Linked DNA regions of Drosophila melanogaster. The protein of the gene in region 2 interacts with the protein of the main gene of each other region in a pairwise test. Each region holds a gene or a part of one and is shown on either strand. Other genes may lie near its edges.

The links. The genes of interacting proteins can lie anywhere in the genome.
Region 1: the proteins of Ctl2 (region 2) and Cpr47Ef interact in a two-hybrid assay, tested with the Drosophila melanogaster proteins (one large-scale study listed by BioGRID).
Region 3: the proteins of Ctl2 (region 2) and Ccp84Ad interact in a two-hybrid assay, tested with the Drosophila melanogaster proteins (one large-scale study listed by BioGRID).

What each region holds. Positions count from the first base shown.
Region 1 is NT_033778.4:11,266,548-11,274,330, forward strand, and holds Cpr47Ef (cuticular protein 47Ef), read right to left. Parts: upstream 6,029-7,783; 5' UTR 5,845-6,028; coding exon 5,830-5,844; intron 3,724-5,829; coding exon 3,003-3,723; intron 2,939-3,002; coding exon 2,813-2,938; intron 2,734-2,812; coding exon 2,695-2,733; intron 2,607-2,694; coding exon 2,574-2,606; intron 2,519-2,573; coding exon 2,453-2,518; intron 2,361-2,452; coding exon 2,256-2,360; intron 2,194-2,255; coding exon 2,161-2,193; intron 2,106-2,160; coding exon 2,049-2,105; intron 1,993-2,048; coding exon 1,852-1,992; intron 1,795-1,851; coding exon 1,738-1,794; intron 1,682-1,737; coding exon 1,649-1,681; intron 1,589-1,648; coding exon 1,532-1,588; intron 1,473-1,531; coding exon 1,440-1,472; intron 1,317-1,439; coding exon 1,251-1,316; intron 1,166-1,250; coding exon 1,121-1,165; intron 755-1,120; coding exon 543-754; 3' UTR 368-542; downstream 1-367. Other genes in the region: Cpr47Ee (cuticular protein 47Ee), read left to right, coding at 1-223; TpnC47D (troponin C at 47D), read right to left, coding at 7,567-7,595.
Region 2 is NT_033777.3:29,121,656-29,128,765, reverse strand, and holds Ctl2 (choline transporter-like 2), read right to left. Parts: upstream 5,397-7,110; 5' UTR 5,277-5,396; exon of another isoform or gene 4,966-5,276; 5' UTR 4,662-4,965; intron 3,362-4,661; exon of another isoform or gene 3,359-3,361; 5' UTR 3,353-3,358; coding exon 3,029-3,352; intron 2,960-3,028; coding exon 893-2,959; 3' UTR 519-892; downstream 1-518. Other genes in the region: dgt6 (dim gamma-tubulin 6), read left to right, coding at 1-32; yem (yemanuclein), read left to right, coding at 6,565-6,804, 6,860-7,081.
Region 3 is NT_033777.3:6,690,958-6,694,055, reverse strand, and holds Ccp84Ad (Ccp84Ad), read right to left. Parts: upstream 1,325-3,098; 5' UTR 1,259-1,324; coding exon 1,247-1,258; intron 1,186-1,246; coding exon 598-1,185; 3' UTR 529-597; downstream 1-528. Other genes in the region: Ccp84Ae, read left to right, coding at 2,353-2,364, 2,483-3,097.

The sequences.
Region 1 (7,783 bases), on a different chromosome or scaffold from region 2:
TCTTACTGCACAACAGGCACAACAGCAGCAGAATCTCAACCAGCAACAGCAGCAGCAGCAGCAACAACAGCAGCAGCAGCAACAGCAGCAGAAGGAGCAGCAAAACGAGCAGCAGCAACAGGCCCTAATCACCCAACAACTGAGGGGCAGACCGAACAACCTGGTGGATCCATATGGCTATAATCAGTACGGCAGACGCTTCAAGAAGTCCCCAAAGAAATAACGACAAATTAATGTCATTTAAATGATTGATTAGTTTGAAGATGTAGTCGCAACTCAAAGGCATGAAATACATGCATCTGAAAAGTCAAGCAGTTTGTTTCAATTTCCGCAGCTTACGCGGCGCAAAATGATAAGCAAATATTTTATAATAATCATTTATTTCGATAGTTGCACACACACATTGTCAGAGTGGAAGAGGGAGGTAAGCTTATATAAATAAATTAATTGTTTTAGCGAAAGAACATTGAGGGCAGCCTGCACGGAAATGACGTTTCTTCGATTTGAGAGATTTGATTGGCGTTTTGGAATAAATTCTGATTTTAGTAGCTATAGCCCGTCTGAGGATTGAACTCTCCGTTTCCACGACCTCCGCCCGGCGCTCCCGGAGCAGGTGGAATGTACTGTGATCCTGTGCCGGGAACTCCTCCCGATCCTGGTCTGCCTGGCGAGCCGGGTGCTCCGCCACCAGCCGCTGGTGGAACATACTGATTGCCGGGCAATCCTGGTCCGCCTGGACGTCCACCGGCGCCTCCTAGATAAAAAATGGAAACAATCGCGATTAGAGTGGCATTAAATTTATGTAAACCCTCTTTGATTAGTTGTAATTATTTAAAGCAGTCTTTAAAATTATTATAATCTAGCGACTTCAAAGAGACCGCGTGCAAGCCGAAATGTTTTATGCATGAAAGATCGTTAGTCGATCGTGGGTAAAACAATAGACCAAGGCTTTGCCAAACAAGAATTGTCAAAATAAAAAAACTGAAATGTGTGGGAATAGCACTTGTCTAGTGTAGCTCTTCACATCATTTTCTCATGAAGATGAATGAGGCTAATTCAAGTTTTACAATTGCAATCACACAGATTGTAAAACCGGGTTTATAACTATAATGCTTCTTACCCGGTCCACCGGCACCTCCTCCATAACCTGGACCGCCTGGAGATCCTACATTAAAAAATGTAAATACCATCTATATGTTGTGACAAATTGGGAGAGTGACCTCTTCATCACAAAAACCAATGTTACTCACCGGGTCCACCGGGTGCTCCTCCAGCTCCACCGCGACCACCGCCGGCGCCAAAGCCACCACCACCTCCTAAAAAATAAATATTACTTTAATTATTATAATATTTATAACACAGTTTAACAAGTAGTCGGAAACTTGAAGAATTTCGTAAGTTTTGTGGAATGCACAGTGTACTGTTACTAAGTTACTAACCTTGGCCTCCGAATCCTCCTCCTCCGGGAGAGCCTGCGAAACACGAATGGTATGTTTTTAAAGCCACTAGGCAGATATTAAAATCGACTTACCAGGAGCTCCAGGAGCACCACCACGACCGGCGCCGCCTCCGTATCCGCCACCCCCACCTACAAGATGAAGATGTTTTACTTAAGACCTGCAACTGGAATATTGTTTTGCTAACTAACCTTGACCGCCAAATCCTCCTCCACCAGGCGATCCTATTAATTAATAATTCCTTATTTTCAGTAACAAACAATTTATGTTTTGTACTCACCTGGAGCTCCTGGGGCACCTCCACGACCACCACCTCCTCCGAATCCGCCACCACCTCCTACAAGATGAATGTATTATTCGAGGTGAATGTGCAGTAAGTTTTAAAATCCCTTACCTTGACCTCCGAATCCGCCACCACCTGGGGATCCTGGTGCTCCTGGCGCACCTGGTGCTCCACCACCACCGCGACCGCCGCCGCCTCCATAGCCGCCGCCAGCACCTCCCTGGCCACCATATCCGCCTCCGCCTGGTGATCCTGAAAATAAGCAATGTGTTATCTATTATATAAAGTGAATGAAATCATGAACTCACCGGGAGCGCCAGGAGCACCGCCGCGTCCGCCGCCACCTCCGAATCCTCCGCCTCCACCTGGAAAGTGTATATAGTTTTAACTTGAACCGCAAAGTCAGGCGGGATCACTTACCTTGACCTCCGAAACCTCCACCGCCAGGTGATCCTTTAGTTGAAGTAAGTTATTAGTTTTGAGTATCTATGGAGTAACACTTTTCGTTAACTTACCGGGAGCTCCTGGTGCTCCGCCACCGCCGCGTCCTCCGCCGCCGCCACCACCATAACCGCCGCCAGCACCTCCTTGACCACCAAATCCGCCGCCGCCAGGTGATCCTGAAATATATGAAAATAAATATAAATTCATGAAGTGAATTAAGACGGATTTTCTTTAGGAACAATAAATTTCATCTAGAAAAAGGACTTACCAGGACCTCCTGGGGAACCACCACGACCAGCTCCGCCACCAGCTCCTCCATAGCCTCCTCCACCTCCTAAAAAATAAATAGTATTTTAGATCCATGTGTAAGCCGTTGGAACATAACTTACCTTGACCTCCGAATCCGCCTCCACCTGGCGCACCTAAAGAAGCAAACGAATCGATAAAGTATTAAATTAATCTAATAGGGGTTAACATTTTTAAAAATTGTATAAATAAATCAGTCGTTACCTGGACCTCCTGGTGCTCCTCCACGACCACTGCCGCCTCCTAAAAATAATCAAAGTTAAAGTCAAAAAAGACTAAAAAAAGAAAAAGGGTCAAAATGTGACTTGAATTCGTATCTTACCTGATCCATATCCACCGCCACCTCCTGCTCCACCTCCGCCTCCACCGGATCCTCCTCCTGCGCCGCCGCCTCCAAATCCGGATCCGCCTCCATATCCCGAACCACCGCCTCCGCCGCCACCTGCTCCTGCAATCAAAAGTGAGCAATGAAATGGAATGTTAATCCATTGATTTATTTTGTAGAAACTTACCCTGTCCTCCAGGACCGCCACTGTATCCACCACCCGGCAGTATGGAGATGCCCTGGGCAGCCAGAGATTTGGCTATCGCTTCCGGAATGGGCGGTGGAGTGGGCAGGGCGTTGCCCGAGGGCACAAAGCCATTCTCATCCGCCGTGTACATGATCTCGACGAGTTCACCTTCGGGATTTGTGTAGGAGTATGAGCCCATCACGGATGGGATTTCATTCTCAGATCCCTTGTTCTTAACGGTGCCCTCCTCCTGGGCCTTTATACCATTTCCAGTCTCGTAGCTGAAACGGTAGTTGCCATCGCCGTCGTTCTCGTTGACAAATGAGAGGATCGGAATGGGAGGTCCAGAAGTTGGTGGCGCGCCACCTGACGGACTGGGGCGTGGAGCGGGTGCTCCGCCGCCTCCGCCGCCGCCGCCAGGTGCAATGGGTCTTCCGTTTGCGAAGCCACCAAGTCCGTTATTACCACCACCAAAGCCACCAGCACCGCCACCGCCTGGTCCTCCACCGAAGCCGCCAGCTGGTCCGCCACCGCCGCCTCCTCCATAACCTCCACCCGCTCCGCCGCCACCGAATCCTCCACCTCCGCCGAAGCCACCTCCTGGGCCCTGAAGCCCTGCTCCCGGACTGCCGCCCGCACTGGCCGCACTTGCAGGTGGGGGCAGGTATTTGTTATCCAGCTTGGCTGCTTGGGCAACCACCAGCGTCGTGATCACCAGAGCCTGAAAAAGATCGTTGCAGGTAGGGATTGCCCGGTAAGTTCACAAATTTATGCAAGCACATGGAAAGTTCATGCGAATCCAGCATCTTCCATCGCGATCCACGTTCTCAATTTGGCCTGAAGCGAATCTTTGGCGTGTTGACTTATTTGATTGCAAAATAAATGCCAGTGAAAAATCGCAGGGGTGGCTAATTGTTTAAAATTTAACTTCATTAACTGCGGCTAATTCATAAATCTGAAGATAACATGAAAAAAGGCTGCTAAATGTAATGAAATAGTCATTTAACGACCGCCATAAAAAGTGTTATTCGAATAAACTTTTGTTGCTTGAGCACAAGGACGTATTTAAACTTAAAATAATGTTAAGCGTCTGAAAATTATTATTTTCGAATTATTCGTATTAAGAAATACTTTTAAACGATTTTTAATGTCTTACTAACATTATGTCATTTTTTACAACTGTACTTTACTCATGATAGCATTTTGGTAATTATTTGTAATAAATGTGTATTTTAAGTTAAACAGCAATGGTTCGTTCCAAAAATAAACGATAAGCTTTTTCCAAACTTCAAATTACAAGAAGAACCTTGAATTGTTTCTGCTGTTAATTAAGCCCTGATACACATCTCGGCCAAGTGGGTATCATGACCCCGCCGCTGGGAACCTCCAAAGGGGTCAAGAGTGTGGCCAAATGTCGGCCATTTCATCAATGAAGCATTTGTCCATTGACAGAACGACGCAATCCGATCCGCTCACGTTTTCCATTGTTGCAACCGATCGTCGTCGCCCATTAAGGCTGCAAGTGCAGCGGGGACTCTTGACTATAGTATCAACATCGGGCTGGCTCATCATTGTCTCAGCCTGAGGCGAACTATGATATTTATGGACTTCTTGTTAGACAGAAGACGTCTGAAGATGCAGCAGCGTGTGAACCGAGAGTGCCACAGAGAATTGCTGGCTGGGAAGGTTGGCTAAGCGGAGCGGACCAGCGAGTGTCAAGTTGAAGTTTAAACCGTTTACGAATTCCATTGGGCCATAAACCTAACAGCTCCATCGATTGGCACGATGATGAGCTCACTTGTCGCCACAGCCGGGCAGTGTAATAATGTAATATTGTGGAAATTCTGACATTTGCCACACTGACTCATCCGGCGACTGTGGCACATGCAACCGAAACAAGCAACGCCTGCCCCTTGGGCCGGAATATCTTGAGGAGTCTGTGAGAGCCTCTTGGAGTTCGTGACCACCTAGCAGACATCTTCGACAGCGTTTCGCAACCGCAAATATAATTGCGGTTATTGCAAATGGGCTGCCAATTGGGTCGCCACTGCTTCCATTTCGATGATCTGCTTTGGAGGCGGGGCGGATCGGCCACGACCAAACCATCTTGGGCAACTTTGCGTGCCATCCACCATCTCCGATTGCAAATGGGCTGTTAATTTATGCGTTTCACGGGGATTACTCGATCTTTTCAAGACAATCGGATATGCTAAGTGCAATGGGGAAACCCTTGGCTGTGCTAAAATATCCAAGATGGGACACTCCAGTGGCCTATTGTTTAGGCATGTTCTTTTTCGCGGAATTTTATGAGTTGCCAAGTTGAGATTAAATAATTAACTAAATCAAAGTTTCCTGAAAAGTTATAAACTCTTGATGAATAAGAATATTCCTATGCCAATTTAATACAGATTTCTGATGAGACAATTCCCTAGACTAAAATAATTGAATGTCTTTATTCTAAGGTAAAATTCGTAACTTTACTTTCATTTAAATTAAATTGGGTAATGAAATCAATTTAATTAAATTTGAAGCATTAAGATCTTTGCATTCGAATGTAAAATGTAAAAATGTAATGAATGTAAAAAATCCGAAAAGAATAAAAACGGAAAATATGAATATAAATATGAATATTATATTCAAACATTGAAATATATTTTTGAATCTAGGTCATTATCTCAAGAAGGATACTTTTCGGGAAAAATTAGTAAAGCTCTACAATAATTTCTAACCACAACAGCATATGGAGTTTCAAAGGACTCTTCATTAGAACACTTGGATCTTTTGAATTTTCTAACCCAAAGTTACTTTCCTCTTTCACTGAACTTACCCACTTAAGAGCCATGACAGCAATCTTTTGATTGTTTCGATCGAGGATTAAGAAGAAGAATCCTTGGCGCACCCACAATTTATCCACTGCTTAATTTATCCACAAAGCTGGGTTAATCCACGTAAGTCCTTTGCCGCACCAGCGATGCAGTGCCTCCGCGTGTCGTGTTGTGGCTCCTCGAATGTCACGGTACTTGTGTGCCGATCGCAGCCCAAGTTCTCCAGCTTTTATACTTGGTTTGGCGCCAAATGCAATCAAATGGAATGGAATGAACGAAAACTGCAGCCGGAGCTTGCCGCTTGCAGCTTGGAGCTCGGTGCTGAGCGAGTGCTGAGATTTTGATACTTTATGGCATTTATTGCAATCGTGTGCAGCTGTGGTGGTGATGGTGGTGGTGCTAGCTGAGGCTCCGTCCCCAGCTGGGGCAGAAAACAATCGCACGAAAAAGGGAGGAGGAGGTGGTGGTGCCCCCGCATCCTCATCCGCAAGCCCATGCATTTTGACTATTGTCTCAACGGCGGCATCTCGTTTACTCAATGTACCTTGTCTTGTTAAACAAACGCTCTCAGCCACATCTCTCCTCGGTTAGTGGGTAAAAATTAGCAAGCAAGCAACTGCTGCTGGTGGTGCTCGTAAATTGGAATCCAATCGAAACGCTCAACGCTCGAGCGCATCATCATCATTCAGCTTCATCTCCATTGAATTGCACGTTTGGGAAACCGTTTTAATGCGCTCGGTGTCAAGAATCGCATATTGAGAAGTCTGCCCAGGCGGATGTCAATAAATCTGACACCCAACACAATCCGCCACATTTTCAGCTCTTTCACAGGGCGTCCAGGTCCAGTCTGTGACCTTTCACCTAATGATTGGGTAAAAACTGAAAACTGGATTCGAAGCGGTAATAAATACCACTAATATCGACACCCTCCGGCCGAAAGACTAAGCATTGCGCAAAACAAGTTGCTCCACTTGGTGGCAACATCCAAACCCCAACCCATCCACATCGATCTGCCCCAAGCCCCTTCTCCTTTTTTTTCGCTAACTTTTCAGAAAGGGCAGTTGCTTCTTTTCGCTGAATTTGGGAAAACAAACTCACTGCATGTCGCGGCGGCCAAGTTTAGCGTAAATGCTTGACATCTTTTGGCAACAAGGAGAATGCTCATTGACATTTGCCAGCCTGCATGCATAGCTATGATATACTACATTGGCTGTTTGGAAAGGCAAAAATCTAGCAGGTTGTCAGTGGGCCTTATTCTGCTTGGGATGGTCACAGCTGTGCGGACCAGAACGCCAGTCAAGTGGCAAACGGAATGTGCACGCACTGCCGCAAGTAATAGCGGAAAGATTGAAACAAAGAACTCCGCATGCATCTGGCCACGTTGCGTATGCGCAACATGCATCACTCATACGCCGAATGGCCTTGCCAAATTAACACACAAATGAGCAGAGCGGCCACGCCCACTCCCAGCCCATTGCACAAACATTGAAATTTAATAATAATCCGCACGCCAGAGGGTGGCAATTGGCAATTAAGATGACTCAACTCGGATGCAGATGCACTGCAGCCATAGAATGTTTGCCGCGCTTTGGGTTTTTCTACTCAATCGGTTCCTGAACGAGCGGATTATTTATAGCGTAATTATGATTACTCAATCGTAGAAATAAAATACAAAACGTTTATTCAAGCCTCGGGTGTTGGGGGGTAGACAATTATGAGATACGTTGGGTCCACAATGCTTACTCGCCAGTCATCATCTCCATGAATTCTGGAAATTAAATACAAAATAATATTAATTATTATTATTGTTGATAACTAAAATATGGTTTGTGTACTAATACAAGTGGAAATTGGACCAAAACCTCATAATACAAATTTGTTTCTTTTTAAACTGGTACACCAATCGGAACAATTATAAAAGGCGGAAAATATGGACGGATTTTGTTTTAGGAATAG
Region 2 (7,110 bases):
GCGATAGCGTGCTCAAGGATATTATCTTTTAGTCCACGGGAATCGCGAATGGCCAATATTGTTTAGGTAATAGATTTTGTATTCTTTTTCTAATTGGTTATGAGGTTTTTAAACGAAATATACTTTTTACTTTAGTTTTTAATATTACCCATATGAAATTAAAACTAAAATCTTTCAGCTTGAAAGCAATTTTCTTCTTTTAAATACATCTATAAGTATACCAGGCTTTTCGAAATTCGAGTTTCAGGACTTAAGATTATTATTGAAATAAACAACCTTTGAGGCAGTATTAAGGTTTATTATATATATACTTTTAAAAGTCATATCTTATAGCTATTGTTCTTCATTGCGGCTTCAGCGATCTGTTACATCCTTGCAAAATCAGACTTTCTGAAATGAGTGGGTTGAGCGTTCTAGATGAATGAACGGCAAAAGTATGAAACAAATTGTATAAAAATAAAAAAAAATGAGTGAATATAATGATGGAGAAATAAAATAAGAACAAAACTGAAAAGTGTGTCTTCAATGAATTCATTTTTATTAAATTCGAAAATTATAATAATTATCGTTAACTTAAACTTCATGAATGTGAGATATGTACTTTTGTGTCTCTGTATACATGTTATTGTATGGTATTACTTTTGGTCTTTATGGTCCGCGCCTATCACATGTCTAGCCGCACAAAAAACTTTACATATGGATACGGATACTGGCGTATTATATACACTAGATTAAAGATTAAGAGTATTGGCAAAGGAGCGTGCATTTAATGCAAACCCAATTGCAGCCGGTTGAGCAATCGCTCACAACCCCGATCGTTTCGTTTTGGGCTATAATAAATATATATATATATGTTTTACTTCAATAAAGTTATAATTTGCACTGCTGTCTCCTACTTTCCGCGGCGCTGACGCGGCGGCAGATTGTTCTTCTTGCCAAGAATCTTCATTAGCTGCTTGGACATGAAGAACGGCTTCTCCGGTGAGCCGTCGTTGCGCTCGCAGTCCTCCAGGAAGCACAGAAACAGTGTGTCCACTGCCGTCGAGTACACACCGAAAAACACGCTCGTTATGAGAAAGGCGGCAATTACCACCACCGTGGTGGGCACTGCTATGTAATTTAGCCGAATAATGCTCGGATTATTGTCCAGGAAGTAGTAGGTGGACGCCCCCGCCCCTGCGGTTAGCAGCAGTTTCGACAAAAAGAACAAAAAGTCCGTGACCTGATCCAGCGTCACCACACGCAGGAAGTTCCTCATAATCAGATTAAACGAGTCCGCGGCACTGGAGCAGAAGTTCTTGCCATGAATGGCGCACATGATGTAGGCATTCCGATTGAGGAACTTCAGGAAGGTCTCCAGCAACCAGAAGAAGCAGCGCATGCAGCAGAGGATGGCTCGTGTCACCGCATTGTCGTACTTCTTCAGCTTCTCGTGGATGTACTCCAGCACCAGACGGATCAGCCGGACGATGGCCAGGATGAGCGAACCAAAGGCCACGGTGCCCAGATGGTAGACAGCAGTTTGAAAGAATGCCCTTGTAAGGGTGAAGTAGGGCACATCCCTCTTTTTGAAGGTCCAGTACCATCGGGCGAAGGTCGAGGCCAGCACCATGTAGCTGAAGGCGGAGATGAAGAAGCTCAGCCAGAGGAAGCCAAAGACGTTGTAGAAGATGGCCCACTTAATCTCGATTGGATTGTTAATCGAGTCAAAGCTGCAGGTGGTGTTCAAGCAAGGGTTTCGGTTCTGGAAAAATGAGGTCAGCCGAACGCTACAATATTGCTGGAACACTTCTGGCTTGCAGGATCCGCCCACTGTGTAGTTGATGGCTGGACCTTCGCAGACGCAGTCCTCGGTGGTCACTTCGCCACTTTTCGTCAGCTGTCGCACCATTCTAAACGAAGGATCGCCAATTGAGCCCAGATACAGGCCCACGCCAATGGCAAACGCTATGGCGGCAATGAAGAGTATCCAGGAGAAGATGGGAAAGAACACGGTGCTGATCACGCTGCTCACCGCCTTGCTGCCCTCCTTGGTTAGGGCGATCGCTATCCGGATGCGCTTTCTTAGCACAATTACCAGCAACAGGATAACCACGAAGCACACGCCTACGAAGATGGACAGGTAGAGCCAGGTGTTCTGGTTTTGCAGGACATTCTTGACCGTGGAGTGTAGATTCAAGCCGTGTACGGGAACCGTAGGCGTATTCTCCCAGTGGATGTACTGCTTTACGGAGAAGTAAATACCCACCAGCAAGCCGATAAGCACGCCGAAGATGGAGAACCAGAGAATCGGAGCCGAGAGCCAGCGCATTAGAGCGATGTAGATCAGTGAGGCTACCAGGGTGCAGAAGCAAGCCACCAAAACGATCGACCAGGAGTTGACAAGATCCTCGACAATCTTTTCTCCCAAAAGCTGGGCGTCGTTTGTGCCATTGTAGAAGTGGGCCACCATGTTACCAACGAGCTTGGCCAGCCTCGTATCGGTCTGCATCATCTTCTCCTTGATGACAGCCTCGTTGAGTCTGCGCTTGCACTGGATGATCGGTTCCTCGTCCACTGGAGTCTGTTTGCCATTCGCCTGTGGAACAACGAGAGCCTGGGCATCCGTCATTTTCTGGTACATGACATCGGCCTGCATTTGAACTTCTGTGGTGGCGTTTCCGGGCAACATATGCAGCTCCCGCCTCGACCTTCCCCCATTTAGCAGAAACGAGGGAATATAATCACACACGCCCTGCGAGAACTCGAAGAGGCATCGTTTGAGGAATGGAGCACTCTTGATGTACCAGCGTGCGCACTGGTTCTGGTTAATGGCATCCTGAATGTCCGATTTGGTGCGAATCTGCGCCTTGTGCTCCTCCGACAAGCAGATGAGGCGACTATGCAGCTCCGCAAAACTTTGTTTGTCCTTCATAGTGTCCCAGACGAACGTCTCTCGGGGACAAGTCTCCACACAAACCTGTTGAAATACGTATTTCATTAAAAGTAAGATCAACTCCTTGCAAATTTGATGTTAATGGTATCTCACCTGTGGAGTGTCACATCCAGTGATGGGTACAAGTGGATCGATGCACTGATTCAAGTCGAAAAAGAATAGGTTTTTCTTGTTCAGCACTCCGGAGTCCATGCCACACTTTCGGTTAAAGGAGTCCGTGGGCACCAGCAGTTTGTTGAGATCGCCGTTCCTGATGGCGTATTGGGCTATGAAGGCCCATCCGCCCAGGAAGAGGACGAATAACAGCAGGCAGGGCACATCCGTGCAGCTGCGATCCCTCTGCCTCGGTCCCGTGAAGTTCCGGTCGTAGCGCAGTGGCTCGCCGTACTTGTTCATCAGCTCCACGCTTTCCGTCATCGCTCTCTACTGAAAGAGTCCAAGAAGAACCGAGTGTTTTATGTATGTATATACATAGAGCCACTATCGATGGGTCGTCGTCTCTAGGTAATGAGATTGTCAGGCGTATATCATGTAATTTATTTCCGTGCATGCGTCATTGTTTTAAAAATGGAAAACCGAATCTGTAGTGGGTGGTCGTGTTGGCGGTGAAGCCAACCACCAGCGGCTCTTTTTGTTCTAGTTTATTTGTTAGTTTGGTTGGGGAAAGTACGATGAGTAAATGAAATTGTCGGCGACAAAGTGCGGTTTGATTATATCAACGACAGGCGGCCAACGATCCCTTTTGGATTGAACCACAATTAAATAATATTTCTTCCTATGTTTATGAATAAGACTGTTTAACCTTTTAATGATCAATGAACCTAGCTCTGTAACAAAGTTTTCTACTGGATAAATGAACTTTAAGAATGGCTTTGGATGGGCTGGTGAATTATCCATAATTATTGCTAATACATTCTCCTACAGCAGACTCATTTAATTAATCATGAAAGCAAATAGAGAGCAGAAATAAATAAAGTATCGCTCATTCGGTTTAAGAGCTCCCCTGATAACGATAGCGATCGCAACTGTACGAACCTCTTGGGGATGCGAAAATCTGCGAAGAGGTAGCAGTAAAGCAGCTCGAGCATGTCGCAAATCGGCAATAATGACGCATTAAAAAGCAAATTAAATTTGTGCGCTCACTTGTTGCTGTTGTTTGATTGTTTATGTGTATCGCTTTATTTTTGTGTGCGGCTTCTGTCCATTTGAGATGAAAAACTGGCTGCCGCCTTTAATAGATGAATTACCAAAAAAACACACAAGTTTTCATAGAAAATGGGAAACCAATTTGGGTTGGCAAGGCATTTGGGGCCACATGTTTCAAGGTCGATTGCCGTAACTCCATTTTGGTGTAGGAATTTCAATGTCTGGGAGTAGAGTTTATCATTCAAGCAGTGCTACGGGCAACACTCTCAGTAGCTAACCTTTTTTTCTTGCAAAGAAACTTGTAGACATGATAAGAAAACGGGTGTTCGTTTTGATATCTAACCCATTTGCATAATTTGTAGTGTAGAAAACTGGTTTAAACCTAAGTTGTCCTTGCATCGAGTGTTTACTGTGTTCACCTTGGACTACGTCACTTGAGATAAAAGAAAGCAGTCGCAGTTCTGATCTTATCTTATAATGGTAGTCTCTTGTTTCCCATATGAACGATTTCCCCTTGTTGTTTTTTGGAACTACAAATGTACAAGGCCCCGTAATTTCGTAATGAAGCAGTATTACTCACCTTTGCTTCGGAGCCGAACGATTCTTCCAGAGATGTAACAAAGGAGCTCCACTCTTCTCGTCGCTTTTCCTTTCTTTCTTAAAGTTCCTTTATTGTCTCATGACACTTTTTTACGAGCGGCTGGGGGCTTTTTGTTTAGCTGGTTTCCTGGGACGGAGTCACTACTCCGGCGAAAGTCACCGGACCACTGAAAGCGGGAAGCCTTTGTCGGAGCTCCGTATCCCGTACGTTGCTCTTTGGACGTCGGTCACTTGCATTCGTTGGATAAATATGTACATACATACATAAAAGAGCTCGAGTGGGGCTGCAAGCATAAAGGCAGCATAAGTGTTTATGTGCTAGTGTTTGTGTGGTGCCACTTGGGGATTGGGGGTGGGGGAGTTGGGGATTGGGTTGGATTGGATTGTGAAAAGAGCAGCACGGCACACTTTTGTTAATTGCACAATCCTAATCGTTTTCACCCGATAACGAGCACTGGCCATTCCCGTTATAATAACACCTTGCAGTTTCGACCGAATTCGAATTTCTGTGCATGCAACTCTTTTCGTTTCGCTTGTTTTTGTTGTGGAGCGGGCGCATGAAATTAAGCCCCCAAGCTCACGTACTGCGACTCACTTGCACTTGCGCTAATTAAACGGCGAGCACTTGACTTTCTACGAAGTAAACTCCTTCACAATCGAAATAATACTGAATCGCCCCAAGAAAATCTGCCCACCACCCGCGGCCCCATACTCTGAACAGCTGTGCCGAACAGTGCTGCACAACGGCCCGTTCTGGTCAAAACAAAGCAGAAATGTGTGTGGAATGTGGCACTGCACAGGGATGCACAAAAGCTAGTGCGAGTGTTGGCCGCTTTCAAGCCAGATCTCGTTACTTGTTGGAAAGTTTTAGAGCCGCGTAAGTTATAAAAAAGTTTACATTATATTTTGATTTTGGGTCCTTTTTAAACAATTAAGCTTACAACAGCATAAGCCACCTATATATTTTACGTAACCTATCAACTTGGTAGCTCGAAACTTTACTTTAAAAATGAGCTAGATGCCAAGCTAATGAATTTCTAACTAACGGAATTTTGGAAATACATAGCACCCATAACAACTAAATATTGCCAAATGCAGCCAGCCGCAGCAAGTCTCGGCTTGTGCTGCGCGCAGTGTGAACGGCTCGGAGTAATTTGCGAAAACCGCGACCAGTGCTGCGCAACGCGAGTGCGAAAGCCAAAAGCAGGGTCGGATCTTTGGTGCGGGGTGGAGCGGAGAGAATGTAGCGTTGAGGATTTTAACAAGAAACAATTTAAGAATCGCGCTCCTGGCCGTGCGAAAAGCGCCTGGTCGAATCGTTTAAATGTCCCCTTTGGTAGCGTCGATTGCGTGTGTTTAATCCCCGGTGCGCTGCTTTTACAGACTGTGTTGTTTTCGTGCCGGCAAGCCAACCAATTTGAAACCCCCCAAAAAGTTTCCACTTTTTCATTCCCCCAGAAAAGTGACAATTATTCGTGGCCGTGGTCGGCGGATGCAGCTGCAAAGCGGGCGGCGATTAAAGTAGTGCAATCCGGCGCAGGTCCTCGCCATTTGTTTATGTTGATAAAGCAGTGTTTGTGGGGCGACAACAAGAAAGTGCAGCTCAGAGTGAAATTGCCACGGTTATTAAGTGGTTGTGGTTGCTTGGTGTACGTGCAGAAAACCTAAAACAGACATCCCCAGAAGAAGAGGAAGCAGCGGAAAAGGAGGAGGAGGAGCATCAGCAGCAGCGACGTCTCTGTTGTTTTTGTTTGGCTGCGAGAGAGAGAGAGGGAAAGAGCAACGAAGAACACGCGGCTCTTTCGAAAAAAAAGGGCGGGAAGGCCCTTTCGGCTCAAAGGAAACCCTATCCCACTGAATATCCGTAACTCTGCCCGCCGGAAATGTCAAAGGGGGGCGAGCACAAGCGCGTCACCCTCACCTCGATCATCCAGGGCGATGCGGGCTTCTCGCGCTTCGGCAGCAACATCCTGGAGCCTGATGCTGCGTCCGCTGCACCCGACAACAGCTCCAAACCCACGACAAAGACTGCCAAGTGCATCCGCATCAAACTCGATCTGTTCGAGACCGATTCGAACAAGTATCCCGAGTTTAACTACTCCCGGCTTTTGTATTTGGAAAAGGTAAGAGTGTATAACTCAGTTGGAGGATCGCTTTCTAAACCCTTGCAATCCGTAGAAAAAGACCAAAAAGCTGAAGCAGGTGAGCACTACCAATGGCTCCGCAAGCACTGATCCCTTTGCCGACAACGATGACGATGTGGCACGGATCGTCAAGGAGCTGGAGGCCAAGTATGGCAACTCCTATGCCACAGGCAGGGGGAAGAGCAAAAAGGACGACTACCGGGACATTGGAATGGGCTACGATGAGTCGGACTCATTCATCGACAACACGGAAGCCGTAAGAACAAGAAATATTTCCGACGAATG
Region 3 (3,098 bases), about 22 Mb from region 2:
TCGAACTTATAAAACTTGCTGATGATATCTAAAGCGTATCTGATAGTCTATTATCAACTGCATATTTTATTAAGCTTAGTTTGATTAGATAGACGCGCAGGGTATAAACATATCATACATTTTTAAAAAAATATTTAAAATAATATTGTTATATCTATAACTCTCAAGAATTAACTTTTTTATGTTGACTCTGTTAGTTTTAATCATAACTTCATCAATACCCTATCAATATAAAAATATCTAATGCAATCAAAAATATAAGCTGATGGTTTTAAAATTGCACATATTATTTAAACAAAATATTTGAGATTTTTTTTTTATTTTTGTAAAGATTTTGCAGTATTTTTTATAGGTATTAAATATGGCTAACACATCTAATTGAAACACATTAGAATGTCATTAATGAAGACGCTATCTCCTTGACTCAATTTTATCCGGATAAAACAAATCCGAAATTGTTTCAGCTGCCGTTGATGAAAATAGATGATCAATAGATGAAAATAAAAAAAAAAATTTTTTTTAATATTTGTGTGTATTTGTAGGAGGCAATTGTAAAACTATAACAGTAATGGGTTGAGAAACGTAAAATGACAGTTCTTAGTGGTGGTAGGCAACAGCGGGGGCGGCGTAGGAGGTGTAGGTAGCAGGAGCGGCGTAGTGGGCAACTGGAGCCACGGTCTTGACCACGGCGGGAGCAGCGTAGTGGGCAACCGGAGCCACGGTCTTGACCACAGCGGGAGCAGCGTAATGGGCGACAGCAGGGGCGGCGTAGTGGGCAACGGGAGCGGCGACGGTCTTCACAACGGGGGCAACGGCGACGGCCTTGACCAGGGGCTCACGGTTGACAACGGCGTTGAATCCGTTGATGGGATCGGCGGTGTACTGGACGGTTCTCTTGTAGCCATCGGCGTCGATCAGGGAGTACTCTCCGCGGACCACGTCGCCATCGCGCTCCTCCACCTGGCTCTTGGAGTCTCCGGAGAGGGAGTCCTGAACATCGTAGGCGTACTTGTACTGGGGATGGGGATCGTACTCCTCGGCGGCCTTGGCAAGAACCGGCTGGGCGTGAGCAACGGCGACAGGTGCTTGGGCGTAGGTGGCCACGGCGGGGGCGGCGTGGTACACCTGCTGGACGGGCAGAACACCGGCGCTGGCGGCGGCGATCAGGGCGAAGAGGGCGATGAACTGAAAGAGGGAAAGCAGTTAGGATGTGGGTCTTTGGCGGGGCTAAGTCCTCGGGGCGAACCTTGAATGCCATTTTGATTTGGATTGATTTGGCTGCTGCTGCTGCTGCTGTTGGTTGTTGGAAGGCAAAATGAACTGTGAGGGCTACTGGGCCAACACTTGGCTTATATACCGAGATGGAGCTATTTCTTCAGCTGCTGCTACCATTGAATGGCCGAACTCGCTTTTGCCGGCGGGCCACGCTCTTGGCGTAATTAGTGCAATTCATTTATGCTAAACGTGTGTGGAGAGGGAAAAGTGAAGCTTGAAGGCGTGCTCAATCTTTGTATCTCTGTGTTTTGTCATCAAATAACTTCAATTTATCCGAGAGAAACGGAGAGCGTGCGCTGTGACATCACTGCTTACTAAATCCAGTTAGCTTACAAGACAGTTAATATTGTGGCAAAAAGGTCGCTTAAAAAGATATTAACTCAAAACATCTAAATTATCGTAGCTTTATTAAATTAAAATTATTATTTTTTATCACCCACCTTTGGTTTCCAAAATTTGAAGATAGTTCACAGGCGAACAGCTTTTTAACATGCTTAAAACTTTTTTTTGTAACATATTTGTAATATTTTATGTAGGTTAATAAAATTATACAACTTTGTAGGAAATGTGTTTTAAATACATAATAATCAAATTATGATCCCAACATAAAATATTCATTATACCTCACCAAGACAAACCTATGGATACAAACTCAAAACGTATTTAATAATTTGACTAGCAAATATTTAAACAAATAAGATCAGAACTTTTATTCCCTTTTTATAAAAAATGGGTTCAATTATACACACTTACTTTGTTGTACTTTCCAAAAGAAAAACAACAAAATTGAATAAGAAGACTCCAAGTTTAAGGAAAATAGTAATTAAAATTGGCTTGGCGTAATCAATTAAGTGCAGCTGGTTATTTCGACCGATCGAAATTGGCAGAACTGAAGAAGGTGCGTGACAATTTTTACATGCCACCGGCGCCGCTCGAGGTGATGCGCCAAAAATGAATTCCAATTAGGTGTCATCAATGTCACCAAGTAGCGTATAAAATAAACGGCCCACAATGGGTCAGACATTCAGTGTTTGGCTTCGGCTCAAGACAGCAGTTAATCAAATTCATCCAACTACAATGGCAGCAAAGGTTTGTGCTACCAATTGGAGGATAAACGTTCCGGGGGACTACTAGTGGATTACCAGACTGCCTTCGCCTTTTTATCTTGGAAAAAAAAATCCTAAAAAGAGTGTAATTTATTCCGCAGATTGTTATCGCTTTGGCTCTGTTCGCCGTGGCCCATGGCGCCGTCCTTAGAACTGCTGCTCCAGTGGCAGTGGCTTCTGCTCCGGTGCCAGTTTTGGCCAAGACCGTTGAGTTGGAGGAGGTTGATCCGCATCCTCAGTACACCTACAGCTACGACGTGCAGGACACGCTTTCCGGCGACAACAAGGGGCATGTGGAGGAGCGCGATGGTGACGTGGTCCGCGGCGAGTACTCCCTGATCGACGCCGATGGCTTTAAGCGCACCGTGACCTATACCGCCGATTCCATTAACGGATTCAACGCCGTCGTCCGCCGTGAACCCCTTGCCGCTGTTGTGGCCGCCGAGCCGTTGCTGAAGGTTGCTGCCCCATTGGTCAAGGCCGCTCCAGTCGCCCCCATCGCCCCTGTCGCCTTGGCCGCACCAGCTCCCATTGTGCGCTCCGCTCCAGTGGCCGTCGCTGCTCCTCTGATCAAGTCCGCTCCCCTAGCAGTTGCCGCTCCGTTCGTCCGCTCCGCCCCTCTGGCGGTGGCTGCTCCCGCTCCCGTTCTGCGTACCGCTGCCTATGCCACGCCTCTGCGGTACACCGCCCCTGCGTACACCGTCGCCCAATTGTAAA